3 separate regions of the Mus musculus genome follow, and regions 2 and 3 are each reported to be linked to region 1. The links are microRNA targets in miRTarBase. Many come from high-throughput screens and were not tested one by one. Region 1 holds a microRNA gene; each other region holds the end of a gene's coding sequence.
Evidence for each region. The annotated mature microRNA mmu-miR-434-3p reads UUUGAACCAUCACUCGACUCCU and lies in region 1 at 4,358-4,379, opposite strand. An mRNA with a match to its seed (bases 2 to 7 or 8) in the 3' UTR can be bound and repressed. Matches are read on the target gene's strand: a 7mer-m8 pairs with bases 2 to 8, a 7mer-A1 pairs with bases 2 to 7 and ends in A, and an 8mer does both.

Region 2: miRTarBase lists Lrrc6 as a target of mmu-miR-434-3p. Seed matches in the 3' UTR shown: 7mer-A1 at 3,911-3,917.
Region 3: the mRNA of Zfp93 is a reported target of mmu-miR-434-3p. Seed matches in the 3' UTR shown: 7mer-A1 at 4,437-4,443.

Annotation. Positions count from the first base shown.
Region 1 is chr12:109,588,519-109,598,943 of GRCm38, reverse strand. Mir434 (microRNA 434) reads right to left here and starts at 4,438; the gene lies at 4,345-4,438. Rtl1 (retrotransposon Gaglike 1) reads left to right here. Exons shown (of 2, transcript NM_184109.2): 2 at 3,456-9,751. The coding sequence starts at 3,541. The coding sequence ends at 8,775. 6430411K18Rik (RIKEN cDNA 6430411K18 gen) reads right to left here and starts at 7,407. Exons shown (of 1, transcript NR_002848.3): 1 at 6,093-7,407. It overlaps Mir127 (microRNA 127), which reads right to left and starts at 6,098; the gene lies at 6,029-6,098. It also overlaps Mir432, Mir3071, Mir136, Mir3070b, Mir431 and Mir433.
Region 2 is chr15:66,373,550-66,383,974 of GRCm38, reverse strand. Lrrc6 (leucine rich repeat containing 6 (testis)) reads left to right here. Exons shown (of 12, transcript NM_019457.2): 12 at 3,404-4,117. The coding sequence ends at 3,581. Among named protein-coding and RNA genes, the nearest start is that of Gm41340, 25 kb to the right of the region's middle.
Region 3 is chr7:24,272,740-24,283,164 of GRCm38, forward strand. Zfp93 (zinc finger protein 93) reads left to right here. Exons shown (of 4, transcript NM_009567.4): 3 at 509-635; 4 at 1,995-5,055. The coding sequence ends at 3,790. Gm51471 (a long non-coding RNA gene) reads right to left here. Exons shown (of 2, transcript XR_003946726.1): 2 at 5,663-6,786. Among named protein-coding and RNA genes, the nearest start is that of Zfp93, 7.5 kb to the left of the region's middle.

The DNA of each region.
Region 1 (10,425 bases):
AGACGTGATGAGGTTTTTGCACATGTTTAAAAATTTGATTTATCCAATTCTAACGGAGTGACATGGTGAGTTTTCTGTGTTTGATAGATATAACATAGCTCTGTTATGAAATCAAATTCTCGCCGCATGCCAAGAATCTAGACTTTTTATGTCCTGCACAATTAAGAGACATTGCCGAGTTTTTAAGGTGGGGTCACAAGCTCAAATTTAATGAACTGTGCTAAGACGTGCGAATTTTATTCTAAGGGATGACGTATCAGATTATAATATCACTTGAGTAAGTTTGGACTTGAGCCAACAAACGGCTTCAAAGTGTGATGGGAGATTTGTTGGTTTCTTTTTTTTTTTTTCTTTTTCTTTCTTTCTTTCTTTCTTTCTTTCTTTTTTTTTTTTTTTTTTTTTTTGGTACGTGACATGATAAGATCCTGTACTGTCTGTTAAGAATTTGGAGCTTCATGCTACATAGAAACTTTGCAACGTTTTAAATCTGGGAGTGACTCCTTACAGCCTGTGAATTCAGCAGAGAAGGGAGTGGACACTGTAATATATTTAGGAGATTTGACCCATGTGCAAACTGAAGGCACTATTGCATCCTGAGTGAGGGGTGAGATATCATTTCTGATCCTTTTGCATGGGGGCGGGGGGTGCTGCGGGATGCTTGGAGTTTGGCCAAGGAAGGATTTTAAGGAGTGAAATGGTGAAGAGTTTTGTGTTCAAAGGAATCTGATGATGTTGAAGCGTGTTTTTATGCTAAGGTATGTGGATTTGGTGTGCTGTTTACTGCGTGGGTGACTGTCCACTGGCCCCCTCAGTACCAGGGCATCCAGTGGGACTTTTTTCTTTTTGTGCAGAGAAATGGGGTGACCTCCAGATGAGAGGTTGAATGACATTTACATAGCGTGTCAGGTTCGACACGGTGGTGAGGGGTGTGAGGAGTCCTCTCATGCCATGCTGAAGAATTTGGATGCCAGCCACGATGAGATTTTTAGGAGAGTGATATCATGAGCTTTGCATGTTGGATAGTCTCAGTCTGCTGAGAAACGTATGGCTTTATGATCATACTTTAAGACTTGGTCTCCATAGGTGAGGCAGAGACTTTGTGAGGCGTTAAGCAGAACATAAGTACATGCATGTTGCAGGAAGCTCGACATTTGTTACCATACAATAGCTTTGGACTTTGTCAAAGATGTTTTATTGTGGCCTGTGAAACTGTGGGTTTTTGTATTGATTATGTTGATTAAATCACATGGTTTAAAAATAATTTATGCTAAGCAACTGGAACTTCATGGTAAAGAAAAGAAATGTCTGTGTATGTGAATATGTGTGCGTTAAATAGGAAAATCATAAGATGAAAATTGTTTATCTCAACTAAAGGTTTATTCTGATATCCAGGCATATTAAAATTTTTAGGACAAGAGATTTTTGGTTGAGGGCTGGAAAGCAGAAATATCTAATCCCTTACATGATCAAATTTGTCTGTAATATTTTAAGTATAGGCATTTTATTTAGAACGGGTATCATTTAGCTTTAAAATCGGATTGCTGCAAATTTAAAAATTGAAACCATGAGCAATTTTTAGGTGGAGACCTGCTGAGATTTTTATGTCCCGCAGATGAACTTGGGGATGAATTAGTCAAATTTTATATTTTAATAATAGACGACTTTTCCTGAAAGAGGAAATAAGTTGATTTATGTAATATGCTGTGCATGTTTCTGAGCTGATGGTCTGTACAGCAGGCTCAGGACCTGTGATCTCCAGTTCTAGGAATGAGAAGCCCAACGTGGACATTATGCTAAGGCCTTTCAATTTCAGCCAGGAGTTTTTTTTTTTTTTTTTTTTTTTTTTTGGTAAGTTTACATGTCAGACATGTTTATATAAAAGGTTTGGATTTAATATTGCCGACAGTAAATAAACAGTGAGAGGCTTTAATCAGAGGGGTTGCATGATCGAATTTAAGTGTCATGCTAACAAGGAGATGTCTAATTCTGAGAAACTGCAGACCCAAAAGCATCCTGCTGCAAGGTTTGGAGGATGGCCAACGGGAGTTTTACATGAATGACAACATGGGAGATTTCTGTTTATTTGGTTTTGTGTGTGTATGTGTGTGTGTTTCTGTTTTTGGATAGGTCAGCCCAGTGACCTTAAAAAAGAAAATTGAGAAGTAACAGAAGGTGCAGAATTCATAAAGACAATAGCTATATGGCTGAGCTATTGAATAACTAGCTTAATTTGTTTTGCAAACCAATACATCCCTTTAAATTCAATTTCCGTGCACTAAACCCTCCATGGCTAGATTTTCAAAAATTACGGAACAATCAGATTTCAAAGGTCCCATGCCCCCCCTTTCACCCAACTTCATACCTCTGTTAGATATACCCCTGTACCAGACGAAATCAACAGTGACAGAAAAGGGGGGGGGGGCACTTTTGAGAACGAAAACCCTGCTCCTGCCGAAGCAGAGGAGAAACTTGGAAAGATAGCATTTGTGAGACGTGCAGAAATGTTTGCATGAGCAGAATTGAGGCCAGATGTTTAAAGCTGCAGGAGCCCTGCAGACCAGGCAATCCTGGGAGAACAGTTTTTTTGAAAGCCCGGGAAAGGGTGTTTAGAAAGCTCCGACTCAGCTCAGAGCTGGAGAAAACGTGGCTTTGGACAGAGATCAAACCGAACAAGAGAAATGATACTATCCCTCCCCCACCCCCCTCTTATCCTGCATATGCACAAAGTGTGACCTAGGATGAAGCCATGAAAGTGCATGTTTTCAGCACATAGTAGGCATTTTATAAACATTTATGGGGAGCAAAATTAAAACCAAAAGCCATGGCTCTCTCTCACTTATTTCGGCTTGGAGCCTAGAGGAGGAAATAAGAGCTATTTTTGGCTGTTGACCCAACTGGCAGGATAGTGGCCAAGTGCCCAATTTCTCCTCTTTCCCCAGTTTGTGAAATAGCAGGCATCTCCCTGCAGATTCCCGCCTCCAACCAAGCTCACTGGGCTGGCTCTAGACCACCAAGCCTGCCAGCAGCCGCTTTGAGTGGCATTGAGATGTGACCTTTATGACTTTTGGGTGACTACAAATGGGAAGGGAACCTGGCCAGGGCAAAGCGGGCCAGAAGTGTGCCCTGCCAGGTGCTAGCTCGCCACAGAGGACGCTCCAGGCCAGTTGCTCCACAAAATTTATGGGCTGTGAATTTCTCATTCCACTAGAGGAAGTAGGCAGGTGGGGTAGTCAGACTCCGCCTGGAAGGCAGGTCAGGGGGTGACGGTCTTTCCCCTGGAGGTGCCCCAAGTAACCAGAAAAGGAGGCTGAACTGAATGCAGGAGGAATTTCTCCATTTTCTCTCTGATTCTAGTAACTTGGCATCTGCTTTGTCCTTGAGATAGAATCTGACCCTGCCATCTTGAGAACCTAAATTGCTACATTTTCTCCTGTCTTTTATCCCTCTGTCCCTAGGTTTTGGTCTCCACAGTTGCGGTCTCTGACCACACACATCACAATCTTACCAGTCTTCAGAGCACACTCCTTTCCAACCGACGACATGATAGAACCCTCTGAAGACTCATTTGAGACGATGATGGAGCTTAAGAATCCATCATCAAAACAAATGGAGTCCTCCGAGGGCTCATCCAACACCGTTGAAGAGACACCAGGCAGCAGTGGAGCCCAGGCGGGGGCCCAGGCAGGGGCCCAGGCGGAGGCCCAGGCGGAGACCCAGGTGGAGGCCCAGGCGGAGGCTCAGGCTGAAGCCCAGGTTGAGGCCCAGGTTGAGGCCCAGGCGGGCTCAGATAGTGGCCCAGCCCAGGAAGAAAAGGAGCCACCCAGTGGCCCCCTCAAGGAAATGCAAGAGCTGCCCACTAATCTACTCCAAGAAGTGGAGGAGCCATCCAGTGGCCCCCACCAGGAAATGCAAGAGCTGCCCACTGATCTACTCCAAGAAGTGGAGGAGCCATCCAGTGGCCCCCACCAGGAAATGCAAGAGCTACCCACTGATCTACTCCGGGAAGTGGAGGAGCCATCCAGTGGCCCCTACCAGGAAATGCAAGAGCTACCCACTGATCTACTCCGGGAAGTGGAGGAGCCATCCAGTGGCCCCTACCAGGAAATGCAAGAGCTACCCACTGATCTACTCCGGGAAGTGGAGGAGCCATCCAGTGGCCCCTACCAGGAAATGCAAGAGCTACCCACTGATCTACTCCGGGAAGTGGAGGAGCCATCCAGTGGCCCCTACCAGGAAATGCAAGAGCTACCCACTGATCTACTCCGGGAAGTGGAGGAGCCATCCAGCGACCCCTGTGAGGCATCATCTAACGATCTACCCCAAGACATGGAGGAATCAAGTGATGATGGTTCGAACCAGGAGTCGAGTGATGGTTCAAACCACGAATTAAGTAATGGTTCAAACCATGAGTCGAGCTTTGGTTCAAACCCAGAGTCGAGCGATGTTTCCAACCTGGAGTCAAGCGGTGGTTCAAACCAGGAGTCCAGCGATGGTTCACAAAAGGAGTCAAGCTATGATTCAAACCCGGAGTTAAGTGATAATTCAAACCAGGAGTTAAGCGATAATTCGAACCAGGAGTCAAGCGACAGTTCAAACCAGTCAAGTGATATTTCAAACCAGGAAGGGTCGGAACCACTCAGTGAGGCATCCGATTATAGCATGGATGAAACAATCAACTCATCCGAGACCCAGTCAGACCAAGATGATACTGACCTGGGAGATGACGAGGAAGAGGAGGAAGAGGAAGGTGGTGAAGAGGAAGGTCAGCCCAAGAACTCTCCAGAAGAAGTCGTGGCCACCATGGGGAACGTCATCTCGCTGTTCCTCCGGATGCAAGACCTAAAAGAACAACAGAGAGTGGCAGAAAGGCTCATGATGCAGGCTATCAACGAAGGTCGCCTGCCCTCCCTCAGGCCCTTCTCTGGAGATCGCAGAGACTACCATGAGTTTGTCGTGCTCTGCCAGATGACAATGCAGAACTACCCAAGTATGCTATACAATGATGAGCTGCGGGTGAAATTCGTCATCCGCCACCTGACTGACCTAGCCTTGGAATGGGCCAACGACCTCGTAGAGCAGAACAGCCCAGTGATAAACAACTTCTCAGCCTTCCTGGAGGCCATGTCAGAAAAGTTTGAGTATCGGCAGACCCTGCGTGTGGCGGAAGACGCCATGTTCAACATCAGGCAGGGGAACCGCTGTGCGGCCGATTACATCAATGAGTTCCGGGGTCTGATACCCACCTTAGGCTGGCCAGATGAAGTCCTGCAGGCCCACCTGTGCCAGGGGCTCAACGAAGAGATCAGGCACTATCTGTTCCGGATCCCTCAGCCGAATTCCCTAGACAACCTGATTGTACTTGTCCTGCAACTTGAAGAAAAGCTGGCAGAGAGAAGAGCATTACTCAGGCTGCCACCTGAGTCGCGCCCAAGAAGCGTAGCCTGGATGGATGCTCCCGCCCCAGAGAAGTGGAGGGTAAGCAGCTGGCTGCCCAATGAGTTCCACCCAGACATTGATCGCGATCACCTCTTCTTACTGCTCTTGGTGAGAGTGGACCCCTACCACAGTGTCGCAGTGCGGGCCCTGGTGGACTCAGGAGCAGAAGGGAACTACATGGATGAGAGGTTTGCCCAGGAACACTATGTGGAACTCTATGAGAAGCCTTATCCACAGATAATCCAAGGTGTGGATGGCATCCCAATTGGCAATGAACCCGTCTGGCTGTGCACCGAGCCCCTGGTATGTGTCCACCAGAAGCATTATGAGTACATCGAATTTGACATCTTACCTTCGCCCAACTTCTCCATCGTCTTAGGCATGAAGTGGCTCCGAACCCATGCCCCTGAAGTCGACTGGATGAGAGGCCGGTGTACCTTCCACTCTCCCTACTGTCTGCGGAATTGCTTCACCCCACCTCCACCATGCATCGCACTAGAGACATACAGCATAAGCCTACTGCCCGGATTGCCACACACATACTCAGACCTGGCCGACGTGTTTAACCCGAGGGAGGCAGATGATGAGACTTCCGACCAGCCAAGCTCAGACGGATCCGATGATCTTTCTGAATCAGAGCCCTCTGAGCTTCAGCAGGCTGGAGACAGTGATCAAAGCGGCGTCTTTTACGAGTCTGGGGCCCGAGAGACTTTGGAACCTGTGAGCGCCAGGATGCAAGAGAAAGCCAGGCAGCAAGAGAAAGCCAGGGAGCAAGAGGAATACTGGATACTGTATGACATGCTGACTGACAGACAAGACTACACGCAGATGGTACCAGAGCTATTCGACCAGCTACATGGAGCGGCATGGTTCACAAAACTGGAGCTGCTTGGGATTAAGGAAAGTGAGATGAGGCACACGGTCACACACACGGAAGACACTTGGAGAGCATCGTTCGGTTTCGGCCTTCACCAGATGAGATGCTACCGGCCCTTCACAATGAACTCATACTCTGACGAAGGGAACAACATTGTTCACTTCATCCTAAAAGACATCCTAGGGTTGTTTGTGATTTGCCATGGCAGAGAGGTCCTGGTCTACTCAATGAGCCAGGAGGAACACTCCCAGCATGTCCGCCAAGTCCTGGTCCGCTTTCGGTATCACAACATCTACTGTTCACTGGACAAAACTCAGTTCCATCGCCAGACCGCTGAAATCTTGGGCTTCAACATATCCCCCAAAGGGGTGAAACTGAACAAGAACCTTATGAACCTCATCGTGGGGTGCCCTGTCCCTGGCAGCAGGAGGTGTCTTCAAAGTGTGATTGACCTTGTCTATCCCTATCGCCACTTCGTGGAGAACTTCGCTGTCATCGCAGCACCCCTAGTGAGACAACTGCTGAGTTCAGAGCCCTACTACTGGGGAGAAGAGGAGCAGGAGGCCTTGGAATCCCTGAAGAGGGCTTTCCGCAAGTCGCCCGTTCTCTATCACCCTAAGCCTCAGAACCCATTCTACTTGGAAACAGACATCACTGGGTCATTCCTGTCTGCCTCCCTGGTCCAAACCGACGACGAAACTGGCAAGAAATCTACCTGTGCTTTCTATTCAAGACCCCTCTCTACAATGGAGGTGGAGTACCCTCGAGTGGAGATGAGGATCCTTCCAATCCGGGCTGCCTTCATGGTGTGGTGCCGCTACCTGGAGAACACCGAGGAGCCCATCATGATCCTTCTCAACACAGAGGATCTAGCCTCTCTGAATAATGACAGGCTCACCGTACTTCTCCCCGGGCATTGGGTCTTCTTCTTCTCACACTTCAATTTTGGTGTTATGGAGATGCCAGCTGAAGGTGACACACAAGCACTCTTCCGCAGATGTTGGAACCAGAGAGGCTTCAGAGCAAGGTTTCTGCGCCCACTGCTGCTTATGTCCATTAGGGCAAATCTAAGGTACTTTGACAGATCCTCTGAGACTGAGGATAAAGAGGATGATGAAGAAGAGGAGGAGGAAGATGGTGAAGAAGAAGAAGGGGAGGAGGAGGAAGATGGTGAAGAAGAAGAAGGGGAGGAGGAGGAAGATGGTGAAGAAGAAGAGGAGGAGGAGGAAGATGATGAAGAAGAAGAAGGGGAGGAGGAGGAAGATGGTGAAGAAGAAGAAGGGGAGGAGGAGGAAGATGGTGAAGAAGAAGAAGGGGAGGAGGAGGAAGATGGTGAAGAAGAAGAAGGGGAGGAGGAGGGAGAGGAGGAGGAAGAAGGAGAGGAGGAAGAGGAGGAAGAAGAGGATGAGGAGGAAGAGGAGGAGGAAGAGGAAGAGGAGGAAGAAGAGGAGGAAGAAGAGGAGGAGGAGGAAGAGGAGGAAGAAGAGGAGGAGGAAGATGAGGAAGAAGAGGATGAGGAGGAAGAAGATGAGGAGGTGCCCAGCATGGTGCGGGAGCTACTGGCTGCCATCCCGATGGACCATATCCTCAATGGCTTACTGGCTCACTTCAGTGTGGCCCAGATCCGGGCCGTTGTCCTAAACTTCTTCCGTGGCCTGCTCTACTGGAAGAGTCTCCTGGGTGTGGCAGCTGTCCTGGTGATGTTGAGAGCAAGGCAGCCCCTCTCCCCAGTGCCTGCCCCTAATTTGGAAGTGGCCAGGCCTCAGCACCGGCACACACTCCGACTCATCCTGGACTCGACCCTCATTGCGAGTAGTGGCATGGCCACAGCCATCGCTCAGTTGCTCAGCCAGATGCCCCCTCTAGTGGGTGCCAACACCCTCCCAGCTCGAGAGCTGGCTGAGCTTTTCCTGGGCCCAAGGTGCTGGCATCGGAATGCTCTGCATTCCCAGCCTCCACGGGGGATGCGCTTCACCCCTGGGTTCTGGTTGACCCTGTGTGAGTTCTTTGGGGTCAGAGTCAACCCTGAGGATGACGTCTTTCCTGACCCTTACCAGCACCGGTACTTGGAACTGCACGTCGTTGGGGATGAAGATGTCGTCTTGCGAGAAGCCCTGCAAGACGACCTGCAACGTTACCGTCAGTGTGGCCTGCATGACGGCCTGCAAGACACCTCGCAGGACGCGCAGGACAACGACGTGCAAGAGGACCTGTTTGGCGACCAGGAAGCGGTCACCTTCAGACCACGAAATCTTTTGGACCCAGAGGTCCTAGATTTCCTCAACAACCGGCTACTCTACACCCTGGGCACCGATGGCCGCCTTACTCTGCTTAGCAGAGATCAGGTGGCCCAGGCCCTCACACGATTCCTGGCCATGGCCTCCAGAATGGCGCTGCCTTCCCCAGCCAGGGAACAGGCAAGGCTAGAAGAGCTATCAGACTCAGATGATGAACTTGACTGAAAACACACCAAGTCACTGTCATTTTCCCTTGTGCCTCGGCCAGCTTCGCTCAGATCCAGCACACCCTCTTGCTACTCCTAACCCAAGGGGAACCCACTTGTGAAGGGCCACAACTTCATCAACCAGCAACATCATCTGTGCTAAAGAACTAGCCAACTATCAGCGTCCCAGAACCAGCCAAGACTGTGTAACCCTAACTGTCCTAACTGTCCGGGCCCCAGGCCCACAAAAGGGAGTGAGACCAATGAGGAGAGAGCAGTGATGAGCAACAGTGACCCCGTCACCCCAGGCCAGATGCAGAGCAGATACAGCAGGTGCAGCCAAGCAAGCAGATGCCAGTGACCCCACCACCACCCCCTGAGTGGCAGGCGGCCACCTGTGCATCCTGGGACACTGACCTTGGGTGCTCCACGGACTTCTACCTCTACACCGGTGCTCCGACTCCCCTGGACACGCCCCTACTCCCTCCCAGTCTCCCAAGGTGCTGTGGTTCCATGCTTTCCACAACCCCAGCCCACCCTGCAAGCAAGTCCACCCCCCCCCCCACAACCCACCCACCCACTACCGGTCTGGTCCGGCTCCATTGACACCTCATCTGACCCTGAACTCTGATCTTACCTGGGCAGAACTGCTCCAAGGAGCATTCGACGTACCAGTGTGACTTACCAGATGGACTGATCCACCCTGAAGGTCCCTGAGACTCAGAGGACCCAAGAAAGGGTGGTAGCAACCAAGTGGGGCTCCCTTTTCCCTCCCCAAATGGACATATGGACAGTGCAGGGGACAGAGACCTTCCATAAAGGAGGGAGCCCCCAAGAGACACTGGTGAAGCCCCAGATACCCAGAGTACTGTGCCAAGGAGCCAAGAGTGCTCTGACCAGACCCACTGCTCACTGCCACAGGAAGGAGAGGTCCTTCCATTGCTTTCCCAACTCATACCTGCTTTTGCCCCATGAATAAAGAGAAGAAAAGATTATCTGACTTTGTGGTTTGTTCTAAAAGGGAGAGGGTGGATAGTAGGAGGCAGGACTGGAGAACATGGAGCATGGGGTCAGAAAGGATGGAGTGTGAAGAGAGGGTTGGGATGGGCAAGGGCAAGGGTGGGAGGGGCAGGGATAGGAGGGCTTGACTCTCCAGAAACAGCTCATGAAGACATGGAGCAACAGGCCTCCTGTCTTCTCCTAAAGGGAGGGAAGTCAATTCACTCTCAAAACTTTGGGCTCCTCTGGGAAATGGACCAAGGGTTTCATGGGGCAGAAGGAGGGTACCCAGAATTCCCAGCCCTCATCTGGTCCCAGCCCTCTAGTCACATGAGAAATGAGGAATGGCCAGACTGTGCTCAATGCCCACAGCTGAGGAGGGTCAACAGGCAGGATGTTTGAGCTTGGATCCCAGAAAAACAGTTCTTAGAACCCAAGACTGCATCCCTCCACGCCCCCTCCAGCCTGCACTGGGGTCACTGTGCCCTTATGGGTCCTAAGGGGCCTCATGACAAGGAATCTACCCCTGACCATAGCACCAGAAGATCATGGGGAGGATCCCAGGTTCAAGGTCAGGGGCTCAGCCTCACTCAGCACTTCCTCCTGTTGCTAAGGAGGCTCCAGTGGCCCCCCACTGGAACCATTCCCACAGTTGGCCCCTGAGATCCTT
Region 2 (10,425 bases), not on the chromosome of region 1:
CTTGCTTTTTCTAGGGTGTGATTTCTATCCTTGTTTTGGTGTTTTCCTTTTATTATCCTTTGAAGGGCTGGATTCATGGAAAGATATTGTGTGAATTTGGTTTTGTCATGGAATACTTTGGTTTCTATGGTAATTGAGAGTTTTGTTGGGTATAGTAGTCTGGGCTGGCATTTGTGTTCTCTTAGGGTCTGTATAACATCTGTCCACGATCTTCTGGCTTTTATATTCTCTGGTTAGAAGTCTGGTGTAATTCTGATAGGCTTGCCTTTATATGTTACTTGACCTTTTTCCCTTACTGCTTTTAATATTCTATCTTTATTTAGTGCATTTTTTGTTCTGATTATTATGTGTCAGGAGGAATTTCTCTTCTCGTCCAGTCTATTTGGAATTCTGTAGGCTTCTTGTATGTTCATGGGCATCTCTTTCTTTAGGTCATAGAAGTTTTCTTCTATAATTTTGTTGAAAATATTTGCTGGCCCTTTAAGTTGAAAATCTTCATTCTCATCTATACCTATTAATCTTAGGTTTGGTCTTCTCATTGTGTCCTGGATTTCCTGGATGTTTTGAATTCTATCTTTTTGCATTTTTCATTTTCTTTGATTATTGTGTCTGTGTTTTCTATGGAATCTTTTGCACCTGAAATTCTTTCTTCCATCTGTTGTATTCTGCTGCCGATGCTCGCATCTATGGTTCCTGATTTCTTTCCTAGAATTTCTGTCTCCAGAGTTGTCTCCCTTTGTGATTTCTTTATTGTTTCTACTTCAATTTTTAGGTCCTGGATGGTTTTGTTCAATTTCTTCACCTGTTTGCTAGTGTTTTCCTATAACTCTTTAAGGGGTTTTTATGTTTCCTCTTTAAGGACTTCTATCTGTTTAGCAGTGTTTTCTTGTAATTCTTTAAGGACTCCTCCTTTATCAGTGTTCTCCTGTATTTCTTTACGTGAGCTATTCATGCCTTTAAAATCCTCTACCAGCATCATGAGATATGATTTTAAATCTGTGTCTTGCTTTTCGGGTGTGTTGGGGTATGCATGACTGGCTGTGGAGGGCATACTGGGTTCTGATGACACCCAGTGGTCTTGGTTTCAGTTAGTAAGATTCTTACATTTGACTTTCGACATCTGGTAATCTCTGGTGTTAGATGTTTTAGCTGTCTCTGGCTGGAGCTTGTTCCTCCCGTGATTCTGTTAGCCTCTGTCAGCACTCCCGGGAGTCCAACTCTCTCCTGAGTCCCAGTGGTCAGAGCACTCTCTGTAGGCAAGCTCTCCTCTTGCAGGGAAGGTACACAGAAGTCTGGAGCTCAGATCCACCTCCTGACTCCAGGGGTCAGAGCCCTCCCTGGAGGCCAACTCTTTTCTGGCAAGGAAGGTGCCCAGAGGTCTGGGTCTTAGCTCTGCCTCCTGGCTGCAGATGAAGGCCAGAAGGGACCCTGTCCAAAAAACTCTGTTGCTTTTGCCACCCATGTGCTCATTTGTGTAGGCTGGTCTCATTGATTCTAAGATCCTGGGTGTGCTACGGTCTGCCAAGTTCGTGCCCAAGATTTGTGGGGCTGGAGCCACCAGACGGAATCCCAGCCTCTGGTTGGGCAGGGTTCCTTTGTCCCTGTTCCTGCTGGCACAGGACGCTCCAGGATTTTTTGGAACAGATGTTGCTTCCACTCACCAGTGATTTCAAGATCCTGGGTGTGCTAGGGCACCTGTGGCACGGAGAGTTCTCTGAGGACCTTGGGACCCTCTGCTGGGTTTGTGCGGAAGATGTAGGGGCAAGCTTTTAAGAGTCTTTTCCTCATTAGAACCTCCATACTTGAAATTTTCACTGGGGGTCTAGAACATGCTAAAATTCTCCTCCCAGGAGGAAAGCACACAGTATGCTGTCCATACCTGCTGCTGGCACAGTGTGAATCCTGACTTTCAAGGAAGTTACATGTCATTAAAGAGATGGAGGGAAGCCAGCCCCAGTCTTTCAAGTCTTTATATACCTATAGTTAATTCTGAGGGGAAGGTGTAGCTAGGTCTCATCTTTCTACAATCGCTGTTTATCTGAGTACTGGTTTCCCCTTCTTCAGATGCTACCTGGGTCACTTGTTTGCACAGGCAAGTCCATTCTTGCCTACGTTCCTGCACCCCAGCATACAGAGTTTATTTACAGCCCACAGGCTGGACTACGGAATGCATAGTATTTATATGCTTGGTATTCTTCCTCAACAAGTCCATGGATATTATTCAAAACACTGAGAGGAATTAGTTCAAATGTCCAGAAGGGCTGAGCAGAGTCTAAGAATAAGGAGGAGATTTCAAGCACTATATTCCCAAGAATAGATTTTCCACATCCCAACAGACAGTATCTGCTGGACACATTTCACCTAAGGATGTCACTTTGTAACTCCTCCATAAAGCCAAGACAATTTCTTATATAAATCCATTATTTCTCCTAAGAAGGATAATACTTTTTTCACTTACAAAATAATCATTTATTCAAATACAACTGGATGTCAAGGGAGAACATTTAAAAATGCAAAATTTCAGCCTTGAGGATGTCAGCATTCTCTGAAAACAGACCAGTATGATAGAGATAGATTTCCACGATGCTTTAATAAATTCCATGTTCTCACATTGTACTGCACTATGACGAGAAATCTGGCATTTTATAATGCACGGTGTCTGTCCTCAGTCTACTGTGGTTCCAGGATCAGAGAGGCATTTGACCTGTGTCTGTTAAGTGGATCAATGAATGAATTGTGCAGTGATTACAAAACAATATGTCTGGATACATGAGGAATCATTGGGCGAGGGCGGGGGGGGGGGTAGAAATGTGTAGGTCACTGGTCTGGAGTCTAGGTGCAACGAATAAAAATTGCTGTTAAAGGAACACAGGAATGTGTGTCATGAACAGAGTTCATCGAAACACTGGGAGTTTTTGACAATGGAGTCTCTCACTGGTCCTCTGCAATCATACCACCTCTGGAAGTATTGGGCATGGGCAGTAGGAGCAAGTACCTGTGCTAACGGAAGCTGTGGGCTGAGCTTTATTGTGTACCTGAACTTGTCTAAATATCTCCACCATAACAAAGCTCAGGACTTACACTTGGCTAGAGTTCTGTTGATCCTGGCCTGTGACTCTGCTTTTTAATTTCCTAGTTAAGAGAGCTTCTCAAATTCTGCATCTCCTGCTGCCTATATAATAGTAGCACAGCCCTGATTGCTAGTTTTTCTTCCATGGGTAAAAATCTTATTTCTAGAATTCATTATAATTATTGAAACCAAGGACAGTGTTTCTTTGCAATCTCTATGCCATATAGACACCATGCGCGAAGCATTCACTGAATGAATATATGGGTTTACTTTCTTTGAAGCTTAATTTTAAACAATGTAACATTATTTCCTACTTGTCTTGTTCTGTTGTAGAAAAAAGCAGATAGAAAGATTGGAAGTTGACCCCAGCAAGCATTCTTGCCCTGATGTGTCTACCATAGTACAAGAGAAAAGACACAGACCCAAAAGAATGGAATCTCAACCCCGAGATGAACCCAGTGAGGAAGATCCAGACTTTGAGGATAACCCAGAAGTGCCTCCACTAATTTGAAATAGGAGGCTGTGTTGTCATTGACCCTGACCCACAGACTCATGTTGCTTGGTGTTGACAGTGGCTATGTGTCATTCATGGAGTAAACATAGTTCATTATCATTTTTACCTGATGCTATAATGCTTTCCATGCATTGTAATATATTTGAGTTTACAATTAAATTGCATACCTTAAATATGCTATAACTTATCACTCATCTATAATTGAACTTCGAGCTTGAAAATGTGAAGTAATTTAATAGAACTACGACATTCAACATTAAGAATAAGTCATTTAGTCTTCACTTATGCAATAGATTGTGTTATATGGAAAAGGTCTTTAGCAAATTGTTCAAACTCAGAAGTTAAAACTGTACTCTCAGGTCGAACGAAAATGCCCTGACATGATTTTAAATAGTATTTTTTTATTTTTCTTCTCACGTTTCTGCTTTCTCTAGTGGCATGATGTAATGGCAAGAATAAGAACTTTGACATTAGATTTCCTGTATTTAGATTCCTGCTGAGTCACTGAATAAAGACTTTCAGCTGGTCCTTGATTTCCTCAGGGTGGGGTGACTTCATTTGTACTATGCTGATAGTAATGATTGCCTCATAGGTTATTCTCAAGGCCAGCCATGCAACTCACCTTACACAAGGCCACACTGACATCCCCTTGCTTGCTCACCCCATTACTTTTCTTCTTTCTTTATGAGGTGTGGCCAAAGTGGAGACATCTTGTGACTGCTTTGAGATTTTAAAATCCATATGTTCTCTTCAGTTGCTCTTTCTCTGCTTTCTGCTTGCATTTTGAGATTTGAGGTCTTGGTTGTTGCTCCAGCTTTCTGATGTTATGCCACCCTGTGCTATTATCCCTCTGGAACTGTAAGGCACATAAACCCTTTCTTCTCTAAGTTGCCTTGGCCATGCTGTTTTATTACAGGAACAGAGAAATAATACAGAGATCAGCACGTGCTCATAACAACCGAACCATCTCTGTAGCCTCTGCCACAGGTATATCGTAATCTAATCATTGTGACATTCGGTTTTACAGTCACAAACGATGCAGAGAAAATTAGGTAAGATCTCACAATTCCAAACCCAGCTCTCAGCACAGATGGATCAGAAGTCACAACTACAAAGTAAGTTGGCAAACCCCAGACAACAAATTGTCCATGCTAGCAATATAACATAATAGTTCATTCAGTCCTTGAATCAAGTGGCTGTTACACTCATCATAACAAAAACTTGCAAAAGAAAGGGGTTTATTTGGCCTTACACTTCTTGGTCATAATCCATCACAGGGCAAGAATTCAAGGCAGGAACTGGGAAGCAAGAACAATGGAGGAATGCTATTTTTCACCTCTAGTCTATGGGTCTATGCTTAGCAAGCTTTTTTTTTTTTTTTTTTTTTTTTTTTTTTTTTTAATAGCCCAGGACCACCTGGCTAGAAGTGGTGACACACGCAGTTGGTTGACTCTTCCTAAATTTTCTTGATTAATAATCATGAAAGTCCCTCATAGAAATTTTTGAGGGCCAATCTGATCTAGGCATTTCTTAAGTCAAGCTTTCCTCTCAGTGATTCTAGGCTTGTGTCCAGTTGACAAGCAAAGCTAATTAGGATGCTCTGTTTATTGTCAACTTGACACACAAACACACCACTTTAGGCTCTAGCTGTTCATTCTCTGTATGTAATATCTCATGTTAATATTCTAATATAAATTACAGTCCAACTTCTTCAGTCCCAGTCTTAAAATCCAAATTCTCTCACCTGTGGATTCCTGTAAAATAGAAACTTGCATTTTTTTCATTTATAAAATAAAAGAAATGAGGCATAATAAGTATGATCAAAGTTAAGTTAAACTCCAACAATGAAAAATCCAAACACTTTAGCTCAATATCTGACATCTGGGACTCACTTATGACCTTCTGTACTACAAAGTGTCTGGACAGGTCCCTTCTCCACCTCTTATCCGCAGCACACACCACTTGCATTGCAGCTTTAAACTGGCTCCATCACTTCACACCTGACTCTGGTATTAGCAGTCATCCAATGTCTTGTGACCCTCCATTGCAACTAAGGCTACACCTTCACCACAGGCATCTCCTGGCCTCTCCACATGGACTCTATAATCATTCTGCATAGTGCAAAATTTCATCTTCTTTCATGATCCTTTATGTCCTGACACTTTCATGCTTTTTCAACCAATACTATGTGGGAGACTCTCCTATATTGCCAGATTGAGCTGCCAGCATGAGTTGTAGTTTTGGCCACCTTGGACCACAGCTTCTGTGCATTTAAAGTTGAAGTGAACCAGAGAAAAGTTCACTCAAGGGTGCTGATCGCTTAGCAATCACAGCTGATTCTTCTATATTTTGTGACCATGAATCAGAGATTTTTTTTTAACTTAAAATATCACACAAATGGTCCTAGTAGTGCTTCTGCTTCCCACTGTATTCTCAGAAGCCAGGACTCCATTGTCTGTATCCTCTCATAATTCTTCTCTTGTAAATGCCTACAACAATAGTTCATTAAGCTCTGAGAACTCAATGGTTTTTCTACCACAAAGTTCTAAACATTTTCAGAACCCTCTGGCAAAAAAAAAAAAAAAAAAAAAAAAAAAATAGGCAAGGTCCACTTTAACGCTACCCTACCCCGGTACCAGTTTCTGTTCTATTTAGTTTTCATTGCTGTACCAACACCATGATCAAAAGCAACTTGGGGAAGAAAGTGTTTGTTGATATTATACTTCCAGGTTAGAATCTATCATATAGGAAAGCCAAGGTAAGAACTTGAGACAGGAAGCTAGAGGCAGGAACCATGAAAAAATGCTACTTCTTTAGACATACACTCACTGTTTAGTTAGCTTTCTTATGCAGTCAGGGCGACCTGCCAGGGATAATTCTACCCCAGGGAACTTGGTCCTTTTACGTCAATTCACAAAGACACGCCCATAGTCCAATCTGATCTAGGCAATTTCTTACCCATGGCTTCCCTCTCAGATGACACTAGGATGTGACAAGTTAGGTAAAGATCACCAAGAGAGAAGTGATTCATTCTTTACATCAGGGCCGAATTGGAGAACCCCACATTGCCATTACCCATATCCTACAGTGTTGTACACAGGTGGTATCTTGAGAGGGTACCAACTCTTCTAGATACAGATTCTATAGAGACCTAAAAATAAAGAATAATCACAACTTGAAATGCCTAGGTATGTTTAGCCATGGTGTCTCAGAGGATCTGGGAAGATCCTGGCTTAGTTTTTGTTTGCAGATGCACATGCGTAGCATTGTTACAAAAAACCTGCTGAAAAGTGCAGATAAGAGAAGACTCAGTTCATGAAGGGTATGGTGGTTTGCTGCCTTGTTATCTGTGGCAAGATGTGAACCTACCACAGAGAATATAGCCTGGGGATTACTGTAGAGCGCTGAGACCTAGCCAATGGCTGTTCAGCCTACAGGACTGCTTCCCTGTTATAGTTGCTGTGCTACTAACCAAGAATGAGAACTCCGATCTCCAGGATTGTGATGGCTATGTTTGGTTGTCAACTTGCCTATATCTGGAACTAACATTCAAAAATAAGAGGCACACAATTGAGGGTTTTTAACAAAAACTTAATTTGAAGTAGGAAGATCCACTTCTCATCCAGATCTTGAGGCAGGAGGATACATCTATAATCTGGACCACCCCTTCTACTGAAAGCCTATATAAGGACATGGAAGAAAGAAGCTTTGGATGGTTGCCTGATTGCTTTTACCTTGGTAGCAAGTATATTCCTTCAATGGCACTAGAAACCTCTTCTTTGGATCTCCAGTGTCTACTGAAAACTAGCTGAGACATTAAGCCTTGTAGATTGAGTAATTTCTGGATGGGTTCTTGGACTCTACATTCATATCCAGCCATTGGTGGACTAATTGGACCATAGCCTATGGTTAAGACCACATAATTCTAGTATACATACATATATGTATATACATACATACATGCATACATACATACATACATACATACATACATACGTATCTAGTACACACTAGATACATATATACAATACACACTATATATAGATACATATATACAATACACACACATATATATGTATGTATATGTATAATGTATATAGGTTTCTATTGCTTACCCTTCTTGCACATGATTTACCTCTAGATGAAGTCTGGAAACACTGAGAAGGGAATGCTGGTGGCCTGCAGTGATTTTCATGAAAACAGTGGCTATAAAAGGTTGATCCTGGCTTGGGAGTCATTTCTGTTTCTTGTTAAGACATGTAGCTCCTCCCTTATACATGTTCCTCCCACAATGTAGAACTATCTGTGGTTATGGCCCCAACCACTGAAATCCACTCAGTTGTACGCAATGAGCTTCTAAAACTATGAGCTTTAAAAACCTTGTCTCTCTCCTGGGTTTCTTTGTAGAAACAGAAAAGATGATATCAACGGTAGGTAGTAAGCAGCAACATGTGCCAATGTTTTATGTCCAATAATGATGAGTGAGTCACCCTGTCAGAGGACAGAGGGCAACAGGGTCCCCTTTCAGGTAGAGCCACACTCCAACGAAGAGGCTTTCCAGTAGAAGGCTGTGCTGATTATATTGTCTGTAGGACATCAAAATGTGTAAGTCAGTGTTCAATGCAGAAAATGGAGCCTCTCTAGGTATGATGGGAATAAAGGGCTGGTTGTAGGAATGCCGTCTAACCCAAGTATGAGAGGATACAGAAGCAAGATGGAGCATGAAGACAGAAGCAGAGGTACAGTTCGAGGGCCAGAATCTGTATCAGATGCTGAAGCAGAGCCACAGGCAGGGAGCTGGTAGGTAGGTTGACAGAAACCACCCATCTACTAAAAGTGTTGAACATACCGAGTGGCTGGGTCATTGGCTTATAACCAAGTTCTTGAGGTAGCTTTGCAGCCAGTGCCTGATGTGTTTTTACCAGTTATGAACATGTCATGATCTGTGAAAACAAGACAAGCACTGATCTTTTTCTCAGCACACCTTTTACCTGGCACTAGTTCCTGCTCTGGGGAGATATACAACCTTCATTTTCACACTCCTATACCACTATCAGGTATGCATATATTGAGATGTATTTGGTTACCCATGTCTTGTTTCCATAGAGAATCTCTTTGAACTGTAAGAGTTCCATTTTCTTACCACCCCTCAGGTAGAAATTGTTATATGATCCTCTTAGCATAGTCAGACAGTCCATCAGCTTCTTCACTGCTTTCTTGTTCATTGGTACAAGGATACTAAATGGCCCAATTTTTTCAGCATCTAATGGGAAGACAGAGTTGTACTCTGAGAAGGATGCTTTATTTTCTTTGAAACCCATCCTCTAAGGCAGTATAGCTATCAGAGTTGTAGAAACTTGGAGAAAAATATAGACTGTCTGAGCATATGGCATAATAATGAGAGGAATATCTTCATTTTTGACCTCTTTGTTCCACATCTGTGCATCTTCACTATGGGAGAAATAGCATCTTGTATTACATGGGGCCTCAGAGCATAAGCTTTGTCCTAGAACATGACATCATCCACACACAGTCTTATACTACCATTTAATGGCACTGGCATTAAATTTTCAAAAGGCCACTTTACTATTGTATCATGCCATCTAATCCAGGATAATGAAGAACACAATAAATCCACTGACTTATGACATCATTCCATTGGGTCATTTCAATTGCTGCAACGTGAGTTTCCTGACTTAAGTAACATGCCATGAAACATTGTAGCAGTGAAGAAAGTATTTGTCATTTAAGACTACAGAGAGTGGGTTCAAGGGAAATTCTGAACAGAAGGAAGGTCCATCTTCTTTCAGTGAGGGAATCTTCAGTGAGACACAGGACCTGTCCTTCTCTGATAGAAGTGTGTCAATGCAGTCAGCTGGCTGACCCCCTGAATTAGTTACTTTTCTGTTGTTGTGATAAAATATGAGAAGCAAGGCAACTTTCAGATAGGATTACGTATTGGGGCTTACAGATCCTGGGGTTTAGTCCATGGTGGTAGGGGAGATGGCCAGAGCAGAAATCTGGGAGAGTGAATATCCAGTCACCAATAAGATACACACACAGAGAGAAAACAACTGGAAGTGGATCAAAGCTATTAGGAGACATGTAGAGGAATGTTCATGTGTGTAGACAGCAAAGGTCAAGATGAGGTCACCAGCAGTGACTCTTGGAAAAGGTATGAGGCTCCAGACAACAGGCTGGTACTCAGATTCCAGTCTTCACTCACAGGAAGAAAGACTGCCCTCTGTCTGACAGCTGGGGCTGTGACAGTCTACGTGTGTCTGTCACCGTTCACAGCTTCTCACAGCCTGCCTGACACATTGTGATGGGAAGTGATCTGCCATCTGCAATTGATGCATGTCAGGCCAGGGTGTCTGCCATCCTAGCAGGCCTAAGCTAAAATTAGCTTTTCTTTTGTGTGTCTCCCCCTGACTATTCTTTCTCATTTGGTCTGATGTTTCATTGTAACAGAATTTCCGTGTTTTCAGCTGCAATGTCTCTTCAATAGCTACACACATAAGTAGCCATTAAGTTTAAGGAAACCTATTAGATGTCAGGGCCTATTTTTCTTTCTCTTGTCTGTCTACTGACGGCTTTGTCATAACCAGTCACCAGAAGACAGTCAGTCCCCCAGGCTACTGTGTTTCTTACATTTTTGTAAGCCGGAGACCCTGTTTCCATGGTTTCTGCTTCTAGATAGATAAACTTACCTCTGGAGTCTCCTATCTGCAGGTTGAGCCTGAAGTCCCTCCTCTTCTAGTTTAGCACTCAGTGCCACATTCTCCTATGGTTTCTTGCTGCCCCACCTTACCACCTGGCTTTTGTTTTAGGAATTCATCTT
Region 3 (10,425 bases), not on the chromosome of region 1:
ATATTGGCTGCTTAATGCATATGTGCATATCATACAGTGTTCTGGGTCCTTTCTGTGGTCTCATTTTATCCCTTCAGGGGCATTGGGAGAGGAAGGAATGTCAGTTGAGCAAATGCTTTTATAAGATCCAGCTAAGGCATTTTCTTAATTAGTCATCAATGTTGGAGGGCCCAACCCACTGTAGTTGGTGCCATCCCCAGGCTGATGGTCCTGGATTCTATAAGAAAGCAGGTTGAGCAAGCCAGTAAGCACCACCCCTCTATGGCATGTGCATTAGTTTCTGCCTCCAGGATCCAGCACTGCCTGAGTTCCCATCCTGACTTCCTGCAATAGTGAACAGGAATATGGAAGTGTAAGCCTAGCAAACTTCCCTGCCCAACTTGCCTTTTGGTCATGGTGTTTTGTCCCAGCAATAGAAGCCCTAAGACAACAGGCTCTGTGTAAGCAGTTGCTCAGGTCCTAGTGGCATTGGGAATGAATCTGAGGTGGCATGTGCTTGCCGTCACAGGAGATGGTGACCTTCAGGGATGTGGCTGTTGTCTTCAGCGAGGAGGAGCTGGGGCTGCTGGACGCTGCTCAGAGGAAGCTGTACCACGATGTGATGCTGGAGAACTTCAGGAACCTCCTGGCAGTGGGTGAGGACGGGGCCCTGTGTCCTTGGTGATGTCAGAGTTCACACCCGTGTGTCTGTTGCACGCCACTGCTTCCCTTTTAGGTTACTTATTTTGTATTTTATGTACACGTGAGTGTTTTGTCTGCGTGTGTGTCTGTGCCACATTCACTCATGATGCCCACAGAGGCCAGAAGAGGGCATTAAATCCCCTGGACCTGGACTTACAGATGGTTGTGAGCCAGCATGTGGGTGCTGCACACACACCCTGGGTCCTCTGGAAGGGCAGCCAGTGCTCTGTATGGCTGAGCCACATCTCTAGCCTCTACTTTATTTTTTGTTTTGTGGCAAGGTCTTGCTATATAGCCTAGGCTTGCCCAGAAATTTGATTCTCCTATCTAAGTTTCCTAAGCACTAGGGTAGCAGCTTTGTCGACTGTGTCTGACAAACTGCGTGCTCCTGGGGCCTTGCACTCCAACCCTGCTCATCTCTATTTCTTTTCCTGCTTCGATATGTGTGTCTCAGGTGTTGTCCTTTGCATCTCTCTGGCCACACAGTGCTCTTCCCTGGTGGAATTCCTGTCTCTGTCTCTCTGCCTCTCCCTCTCTATCTCTGTGTGTATGTGTGTTTTTGTCTGTCTGTCTCTCTCTGTCTCTCCGTATATATGTGTGTTTGTGTCTGTATGTATGTTTATGTCTGTCTGTCTCTCTGTCTTTGTCTGTCTGTGTCTGTCTCCCTCTCCCTGTCTCTCTTTATGTATATAGGTTTGTGTCTATCTGTCTGTCTCTGTCTGTCTCTCCCTCTCTCTGTCTCACTGTATATATGTGTGTTTGTGTCTGTCTGTCTCTCTGTCTTTGTCTGTCTCTCTCTCTCTCTTCCTCTGTCTTTCTGTGTATGAGTGTTTGTCTCTGTCTCTCTCTCTCTCTCACTCTCACTCTCTCTCTCTCTCTCTCTTCCCCACCCTTCCTCCCTCTCTGCATTTGTCTGCTGGGGAGCCCTCACAGACCCTGCTTTTCATGTGTCTCACCCTCACTCTCTCCATTCTGCACCTGCCTCCGCTGGTGTCTGAGCACCACCACACTTGTTACCACAGAGTTAGTGCTTCCTTCCCATTATCCTTCTGCACAGCTACACATAGGCTCTTCGAGTCAGGTGCTCAGCACGGGCTAAGGTAGCCTTGAGCCTTCACTCCCAGGCTCACCCCAAATTTCCCGCCATGGCCAAGTGTTGATTGTTCTTGGTTTTAGCTCTTTGTTCCTTAGAGCTTTCAGACATTCACCTTTGACACTGATCTCTAGTTAATATTTCCAGAAAGAAATGAGGACTGGCCAACTTTGATGTCCTCATCCTTGCTGATATCATCTTCTGTTCTCTATTCTTTCAGGATGCCAGAGTCCAAATAAGATGGCGCCTCTTGACACAACAGGAATAAGGTGCCTTCCATTGGGGCAGCTTCCATGTTGGCAAATGACCAGCCATGATGTCAACAAACTAGCCAGAGCTCCAGAAGATGGAATAAACACTCCAGGAAAGGGTCCTCACCTCCTGGAGCAGTGCCACTCCTCCTGCCACTGGGGAGCAGAGCAGCCTTCTCAGGCCCCCGAGGATGACGGCTGTCTGGAGAATCTCCCAAGCAATCATTCCAGCAGTAGTGACAATCAGGAATTTCTCTCTGGGAGGGCTCAGAGTTCTTGGAGTAAGGCACACTTTAGTGAGAGATGGAACCATGAGAAACACTGTCCTCAGACTCTGGTGAAAACGAAGTCTCAGCTGTTGGCTCCAGGTGTTAACATTCTGGGTTGCATTTCCCACCACGATCACAATATACTGCATAAAAGAGATAAAGTCCCCAGCAGCGGTGACTGTGATCAAGTCATTTTTCCCATGACGCTCCTCACCCAGCATTGTGTTTATAGAGAACAGAAGGCCTACCAGTGCAGCAGGGGCCAAGAAGTCTTCAGTGACAGCCCTAGTCTGGAACTTCATCAACAGACCCTCTTAGGAAAGAAGTCCCCTGTGCATAGTACTCACAAGGACACCAGGCATAGCCCCAGTGTCCCCATTCAACCAAGTGTTCATCCAGGAAGAAAGCGCTACTGGTGTCATGAGTGTGGCAAAGGTTTCCGTCAGAGCTCAGCACTTCAGACTCACCAGAGAGTGCACACAGGGGAGAAGCCCTACAGGTGCGACAGCTGTGGGAAGGGCTTCAGCCGCAGCTCGGATCTCAACATCCACCGCCGAGTGCACACTGGAGAGAAACCTTACAAGTGTGAGGTGTGTGGGAAGGGCTTCACACAGTGGGCACACCTCCAGGCCCACGAGAGAATTCACACAGGAGAGAAGCCATATAAGTGTGGAGACTGTGGCAAGCGCTTCAGCTGTAGCTCGAACCTCCACACCCACCAGAGAGTCCACACTGAGGAGAAACCTTATGAGTGTAATGAGTGTGGGAAGCGCTTCAGCTTAAGTGGCAACCTAGACATCCATCAGCGGGTCCACACAGGAGAGAAGCCATATAAATGTGAAGAGTGTGGGAAGGGTTTCAGTTCAGCCTCAAGCTTCCAAAGCCACCAGAGGGTCCATACCGGAGAGAAGCCATTTCACTGCAGTGTCTGTGGGAAGAACTTCAGTCGGAGCTCACATTTTCTAGATCACCAAAGAATTCACACTGGGGAAAAACCGTATAGATGTGAAGTGTGTGGGAAGCGCTTCCCCTGGAGCTTGAGCCTTCATAGTCACCAGAGTGTGCACACAGGAAAGAAACCGTATAAATGTGGGGAGTGTGGGAAAGGCTTCAGTCATGCCTCCAGTCTGCAGGCCCATCACAGTGTCCACACCGGTGAAAAACCATTCAAATGCAATGTTTGCCAGAAGCAGTTCAGCAAGACCTCAAACCTCCAGGCCCACCAGAGGGTTCACACAGGGGAGAAGCCCTACAAATGCGACACGTGTGGGAAAGCCTTCAGCCAGAAGTCCAGTCTCCAAGTCCATCAGAGAATTCACACTGGGGAGAAGCCGTTCAAGTGTGAGGAGTGTGGGAAGGAATTCAGATGGAGCGTGGGGCTGAGTTCTCACCAGAGGGTCCACACAGGAGAGAAACCCTACACGTGTCAGCAGTGTGGGAAAGGTTTCAGTCAGGCCTCATATTTCCATATGCACCAGAGGGTCCACACTATATAGAGACCTTAAATCGGCCATATTTGCTGTAGGGGCTATAGTCAGAGATCACATCTTGTCTTCCACCAGAGAATCCACACTGCATGGAATCTTTAGTTTCTGCTGTCAGGTGGGCTCTTGGCTGATGATTGTTAAAAGTATCCCCAACACGCAGAGTCTTCAGGAGACTTCATAGGAGCTTTATTTTGGTATTTTTGCCCTCAACTTATTCTCCTACTGTACTCATTATGCAAAGGGAAGAGAGTATTTTAGAATGGATCTTCTTAGCATATAAATAAAAGAATTAAACGTATATAGAAAAGGATTCTGATTTAATTATAAAAGGAAACATTGGCAATTGTGAGGAACAGGCCCAACAGGAATTGTAGGGCATCATACTAATGCTGATATTATATCATTATGGGTAATCAATAAAGATTGGCAAAGAGCTTGTAGCAACTGATAGGAGAATTTAACAACTATCCTAAAACCAAATGACTTCAGTTTATACAAAGTAATTGGATTCACCCCATATTGTAAAGAGAACATCAATTCCTGGAGCCCTTACATTTTATACTAATGTCAATAAGTTGGAAATGGCTAGTTATAATTCAGAAAAAACATAATCAAAGTCATTCAAAGTCCATATGTTTTGGGTTTTTTTTTTCCAGTTCAAAAATCAGAGTTCTATGACATTCTTAAGGAATTATTAGATTTTCTTGAATCTTTTCATGTAGTTACTGCCCGCAATATGCAAAAAATGTTTCGGATATAGAAACTACTGAACTTACTCAGTATGACCAAAATTAACTTCACTGTTTATTCAACTACAAAAATTAATTATAGGGAAATCATCCATTGTATATAACATGTCAGATTCCACAAGATAATGATGAAATTGTTCACCTGTTGATGGGAAATGTGCTAGAAACCTCAAATTTTCATAAGAAACACCATAATAAGACTAAAGGTATTGAGGGGGATTTTTCTATCACTTGGCAACAAGCCAAAGAAATTATAAGAAAATGTCCTATTTGTCCTTTATATAACCAAACTCCATTACCTGCAGGGAGTAACCCAAAAAGTATCCAAAGAAATTAAATTTGGCAAATGAATATGTTTCATTTTGCAGAATTAGGAAAATTAACGTATGTGTACCATACCATACTCAGGATTTCAATAGGCAGTTGCTTTAAGTTCTAAAAACTTGATTCTATAATTGCACATTTATTTGACATTGTGGCAATTATGAGAATACCTGGGCAGATTAAAAATGTTATCATTCTTGGATTCGTTTTCTCATAATAAGAACTTCTTCAAAATAAGGACTGTTTTTCAGTAGACCCAAGACACCCTCCTCACCGGATAAATATTGACTCTTGGCTAGGGACAAGGACATAACTTTGGCCCACAGAAAGTCATGTTAGGACATCCCTCCCTTCCAGGAGGGACGACCCCTGAACTTTCCCCCAGTTAACTGCTCTGCCCCTTTCAGGCCAGATCCAAAGGGAAGCCATTGTTCTCCTCAGGACTTAGTGGCCCATACTAGTAGAAGCATGGGAGACAATGATGCTGAGGGTGATTTGAACCATGGGAGCTCAAGAGGTTTCAGAGAATTTTAGTATGTGCACTAGAGACTGTTCTTGTGATATTTTGGTGAATAGTGTGGCTCTTTTTTGCCCTTTTCTGAAGAGTCTGCCTGAGGCTAAGATGAAGAGGTTATTAATTGTATTGGGAAAGGAAATCTTAAAACAGCATAATTTAGGCTTTGTCCTGCTCCCTCATCTGTAGGGCCCCTGCCGCAGACCCTCTGGGTCCCTTTGTCTGTGTGGAAAGGGTCTCTAGTCGAAGGTGGGCAAAGAGTCAGGCGAATGACAGACAGACCAACACACGAGATTGTGTAGAATCTGAATGTAGTTTGTCAAGTCGAGCATCAAACTTTTTATATAGAAGAATATTGAGAAACCAGACGAGACACAATCCACCAAGTGACACAATACAAAAGGAAAATATACATCAAAAGAAGATGGGGACCAGGCCGCTGCCCTTTTTATATAGAAGAATATTGAGAAACCAGACGAGACACAATCCACCAAGTGACACAATACAAAAGGAAAATATACATCAAAAGAAGATGGGGACCAGGCCGCTGCCACTAAGAAGGGAGCCAGGTGTAAAGCTAGTCTATTGTTAAATCCACCACCAGGGGTTCTACTCTAGTAGACCTTCTCATGAATACTGCAATACCACAACCCCCCTATTTCCTGGGCCCTGATAATTTCTTGTAACTTTTAAGTATCTGTGGAGAATCTCCATTTGTCAGAAGAATTCACCAACTTGCTTCTAATATGCAATGTAGCCTGTACTGAAGATTTCTATCTCAGTGGGATTACCTGGCTCTTTCATGGTAAACACTCTGCAGACCAGCCTTGAGCTGCTTTGTCTCCATCTTTTGTAATGCTTAATTAGTTACTGCATAGGTAACTTCCTTACTGCATTCCAACCGGATTCCAAGCTCATAGGCTTCTGGAACCTAGGAACACTGGCGAAGGCTCTGGCTATGTCAGAATTCAATCTTAAAAGGCACTTATAATAAAATAATACTAAAAGAGAGCACGTGGATCCATACACCAGACTAACATGGGAATAGGGTATGAGTATAAAGGTTAATGAGAAGTCCAAAACTCCAAGAGGTGAGTTTCTGTGAAACTCTTTGCCTCGTGAGTGCTTTCAGGCTTCTCAGCCTGTCAAGCAGTCTTCACTGGAGTGTGTGTGGCAGGCTCCCAGTAAAGAGTTAGGTCCAAATCCAAATCCATGGCCTGCACAACAGATTTGCCTGCCTCAAATTCCTCGGGCAATAGTCTCAAAAGAGCGGGGGGGACTTCATTTTCTGTATTATTCTCAGCACTTCATCCAAATTCAGGAGCATCTTCAAGCACATGTTGGGAGAAGGTCTCAGTTTTCCAAGGCTTATCCATGGGTGTAGGGATAATCTCTTGTGTACTGTATTTATGCATCATCTGTCAATAAAAGGCCCATGACCTTTAGGAAAGAGTAGAATAGAAAGTGGGACATCCACCAGAAAGAGAGAGAGACTCTGGGAAAGAGTCAGATGTGGGAAGATCCCACCTGGACAGAGGAAGTCAAATGCATGAAACTGAGGAGAGGTAATTAACCTTGTAGCAGGGATAGAATAGAATAAATGGGTTATTTAGCTGTTGTGGGAAATATTTAAAGAGTGGCACCATCCCATGCTATACCCAGCTACTCACTGCCCGGCAGTCTCACCACCTCTGCCTCTAGGCTAGCCCCAGCAGCGACCAGTCATGGCTCTCTTGCTGTGGGGTCTGCTCACATTCTCAGCCATCCACCCCTGTGGTCAGTGGTCCCAAAGCCCACTAACCCGGTAAAATCAAAACTCTTGAGGCTTGGAATTTATAAGTCAGATTTATATCAGTAAATTCTCACCCACAAAATGCCCACACAATGAACTCAGAGCCAACTAATATAGATATAAATTGCCCACCTAGATAAGACAAACTGTCCTGTAATTATCCATCCCTTATAAGATACTCATAGCTACTTGTGGCTATCTAAAGCCACTTGGAATCTGTATCATCTTGCTCTTCCTCCATCTTCCTACTTCCTCTGTCCTCTTTGCCTTTGAAAACTCTTAGCTCCGCCTGCCTTTTCCCTGTCCAATCACAGGCTTCTTGTTGTATTAATATTTAAATTAATTGGGGGGGAATCCTGCTACATTTAGTTATTGGAGCTAATCATGGAACAAGCCAAAGCTTTTGGCCTAGGCATTATTAATAACTAAATAAACTAGGAACTGAGGTGCGGGAGAAAAAAGCTTGTGGTAATGTGTGGCATCCGACACACGGGCTCTTAGAATCCAGGTTTAGAGCCTGAGAACGCCCAGGTGGAGGACAGGATGGTTCTCCCTCCAACCCCCCACCCCCCACTCCCTCTACCCCCTAACCACCTACCTCCCCTATACCCCACCCCCTTGTCTCACACCCCTACCTCACACCCCCTACCCCACATCCCCTACCCCACCCCCACACACATGGATCAAGAGGCGGGCTAGGAAAGAGCAGGAATCCCCAGGGAGGCAGTGTGGAAGGGAACCGGTTAAGAATCCCTTGCTGAGTAGAAAAGCCATCTCTTCTATGTGAGCCTAAGGGCACAGTAGCTGTGGTCCTCCCAAGCGTGGCAAGCTCCGGAGAAGGGACAAAGTGAGCTGGATGTAGCTAGGCAGCCAGAAGGAAAACTGCAGTCCAGTTCAGGTCCATATGTTAAAAGCCTGTAGCTGCTCAGGACTGGGATTAAGAGCTTTCACGGAGCAATGAAGCTTGCATACACTACCCTATTAACTGCAGCCCAGAGCCACATTCCCGGAGTGGACAGAGGTCAGAGGACAGGCTCAGCTCAGTGTAGCAATGGCATGTGGGCCCAGAACAGTAGACAGGTGTCCGCTTCTGTTTCGGCCTCTTCTTCCCTGTGGGAGAAGAACGGGAAGGAGGGTGTGGGGCCAGCTACAGGGAGATGTCTGAGCTAAACTGCAGAAGAAGAACACACACAGAAGAAATCTGAGCATATGAGAACTTCTGATCAGGTAAAAAGTGTTTAAAATTATGCTTTAATGCCAAAGAGGGAAAGAAACTAAGTCTAAAATATTATAGACGAAAATGAAGTAATTTGGAAATAATAAAAGTCAACGAAGAGGGTGTAAAGTAAAATTAAGAGGAATAAGCCACATGAAGACAGAAAGAATTTAGAGAAAATTAAATGCAGAAAAAGATACTAAGTTTTAAAGGCGGTAAAAGAGGGATAAACAAATGCACATAGATATTTTAAGTCTCCAGAGAAAAGAGAGAGAATGAAAAAATCTGAAAAAGGAAAGGAAAGAAATAATAGATAAAGGTACATAGACGCTAAAGAAAGTAAGCAAACTAAACATAGAGAGTAAAAAAAAAAAAAAAAAAAGAGTTTAAATAATAAAATCTCCATAGACAGCAAGAAAAAAAGTCTCCAAAGAAAGTTAGAGAGATTTAAAAAGTGAATGTTCTCCATGTTTAGAAATGGTAAACAGTGTAAAAGAGGGCATTTGAACCCCGTATTTTATCTTGACTGTCAACATACAAAATAACTTTATGTGCAGCAATGACTGTAGTTCTATATATCCTCTTTAAGAAAGATCAGAATAAAACAGACTTAGATAAAGAAAGGACTGAGCAATAGATTCGTAAATTAAAGGACATATCATAGAGATTAGAGGATTCATTTAACAGCATAAAGAATCTTCACAAAGTGCCAATCTGGAACCCAGAGCGCCAGGTGCGCTTAAATCCACAAAGGCTTAAGGAGATCACAGAACAGCAGCCCGTACAGATGCTGAATAAAAAAGCTCCCGCTGTGAACCACATCGGCTAGATGGGATATTATATTAATATTGTCAAGGATCAATTACCAGACGAAGGTCTATTTGCTGAATCAGAACTACAGATTCTGTTCAATGTCACCCTAGAGCAATGTCACACTATAGCTTATGTGTTTCATTTTGCAGACTTTGGAGATTTTTTTTCTAAATGTGCATAATACCATAGAGTCACATTCAGAGGTCCAATCCGGGTTTCGCCTTGGATTCTGAAAAGGGCGATTCTGAGATGAAACATTATTCAAATATGATGGCTATCTTGAAAAATGCCTTACTGGTTTAAGCTGATGATGCGTTCAACATATGTGTGCATTAGAAAACAACAATATTACAGACACTGTGGCATAGGGGATGTTACAGTTATATCTTATAATCTTACAGAACAATCGACTGTCTGACAGGACTTTAAAGAAAATGCTCATAGAGCAGAAGGGGCAGGGGATCTCCCAGAGATAGATTAAATAGTGATTTATTGACTTCACTTTTCAAAACATTAATGAGACAGGTAGCACAGCTGCTGAGAGATTTTGAAAAGAACTGCTGAGTTAGATCAGCCTATAAAAATCCTAACTTCAGAATAGAAGAAAGGGAGTATGTTACATAGGGGAAGATGTTTTGCATTTGTTTCAACAGGAGAAAAAAAAAGCTATAGATTCTTTCCAAATTAATAAAAATTAGATTTGACTGGGGAGACCCTCTGAATCTCTTGACCTTAGATGGGAAGAAATAAATTTAAAAAAAAAACAAAAAAACAAAAAACAGGTAACTTGTATTACTGGTCCCACTACATGGTCACAGCTCTAAAACAAGCTGAGACAAAAAAAAAAAAAAAAAAAAAAAAAAAAAGTCCCCGTCCATAATTTCAGCTATGCATAGTCAATAAATTTTGTTGGCTACAAAAGTCCCCGGAACTCATCATACCATTCTTTATTATGGCATGGATGAAAATTTATGTCATATTTGGCTATACAGTCCAAACCAACTGATAAAGAAAACATATGCTATCCACCTGCTCATACAAAAAAAGAGAGAGAGAATCCTATGTAGCTGATATGTGCACATTGCACATTCCAGACATGTGTTAATGCAAAATGTATATTATTTGTGAAAGGTTACATGTTTACAGAACAAAGAGACCAGTGAGTCAGTGAGTTGGAGTGGCCCTGACAGGATTCATCCTGGAAGATGCTGAGAAGAAGGCTGAAATGCTGAAACA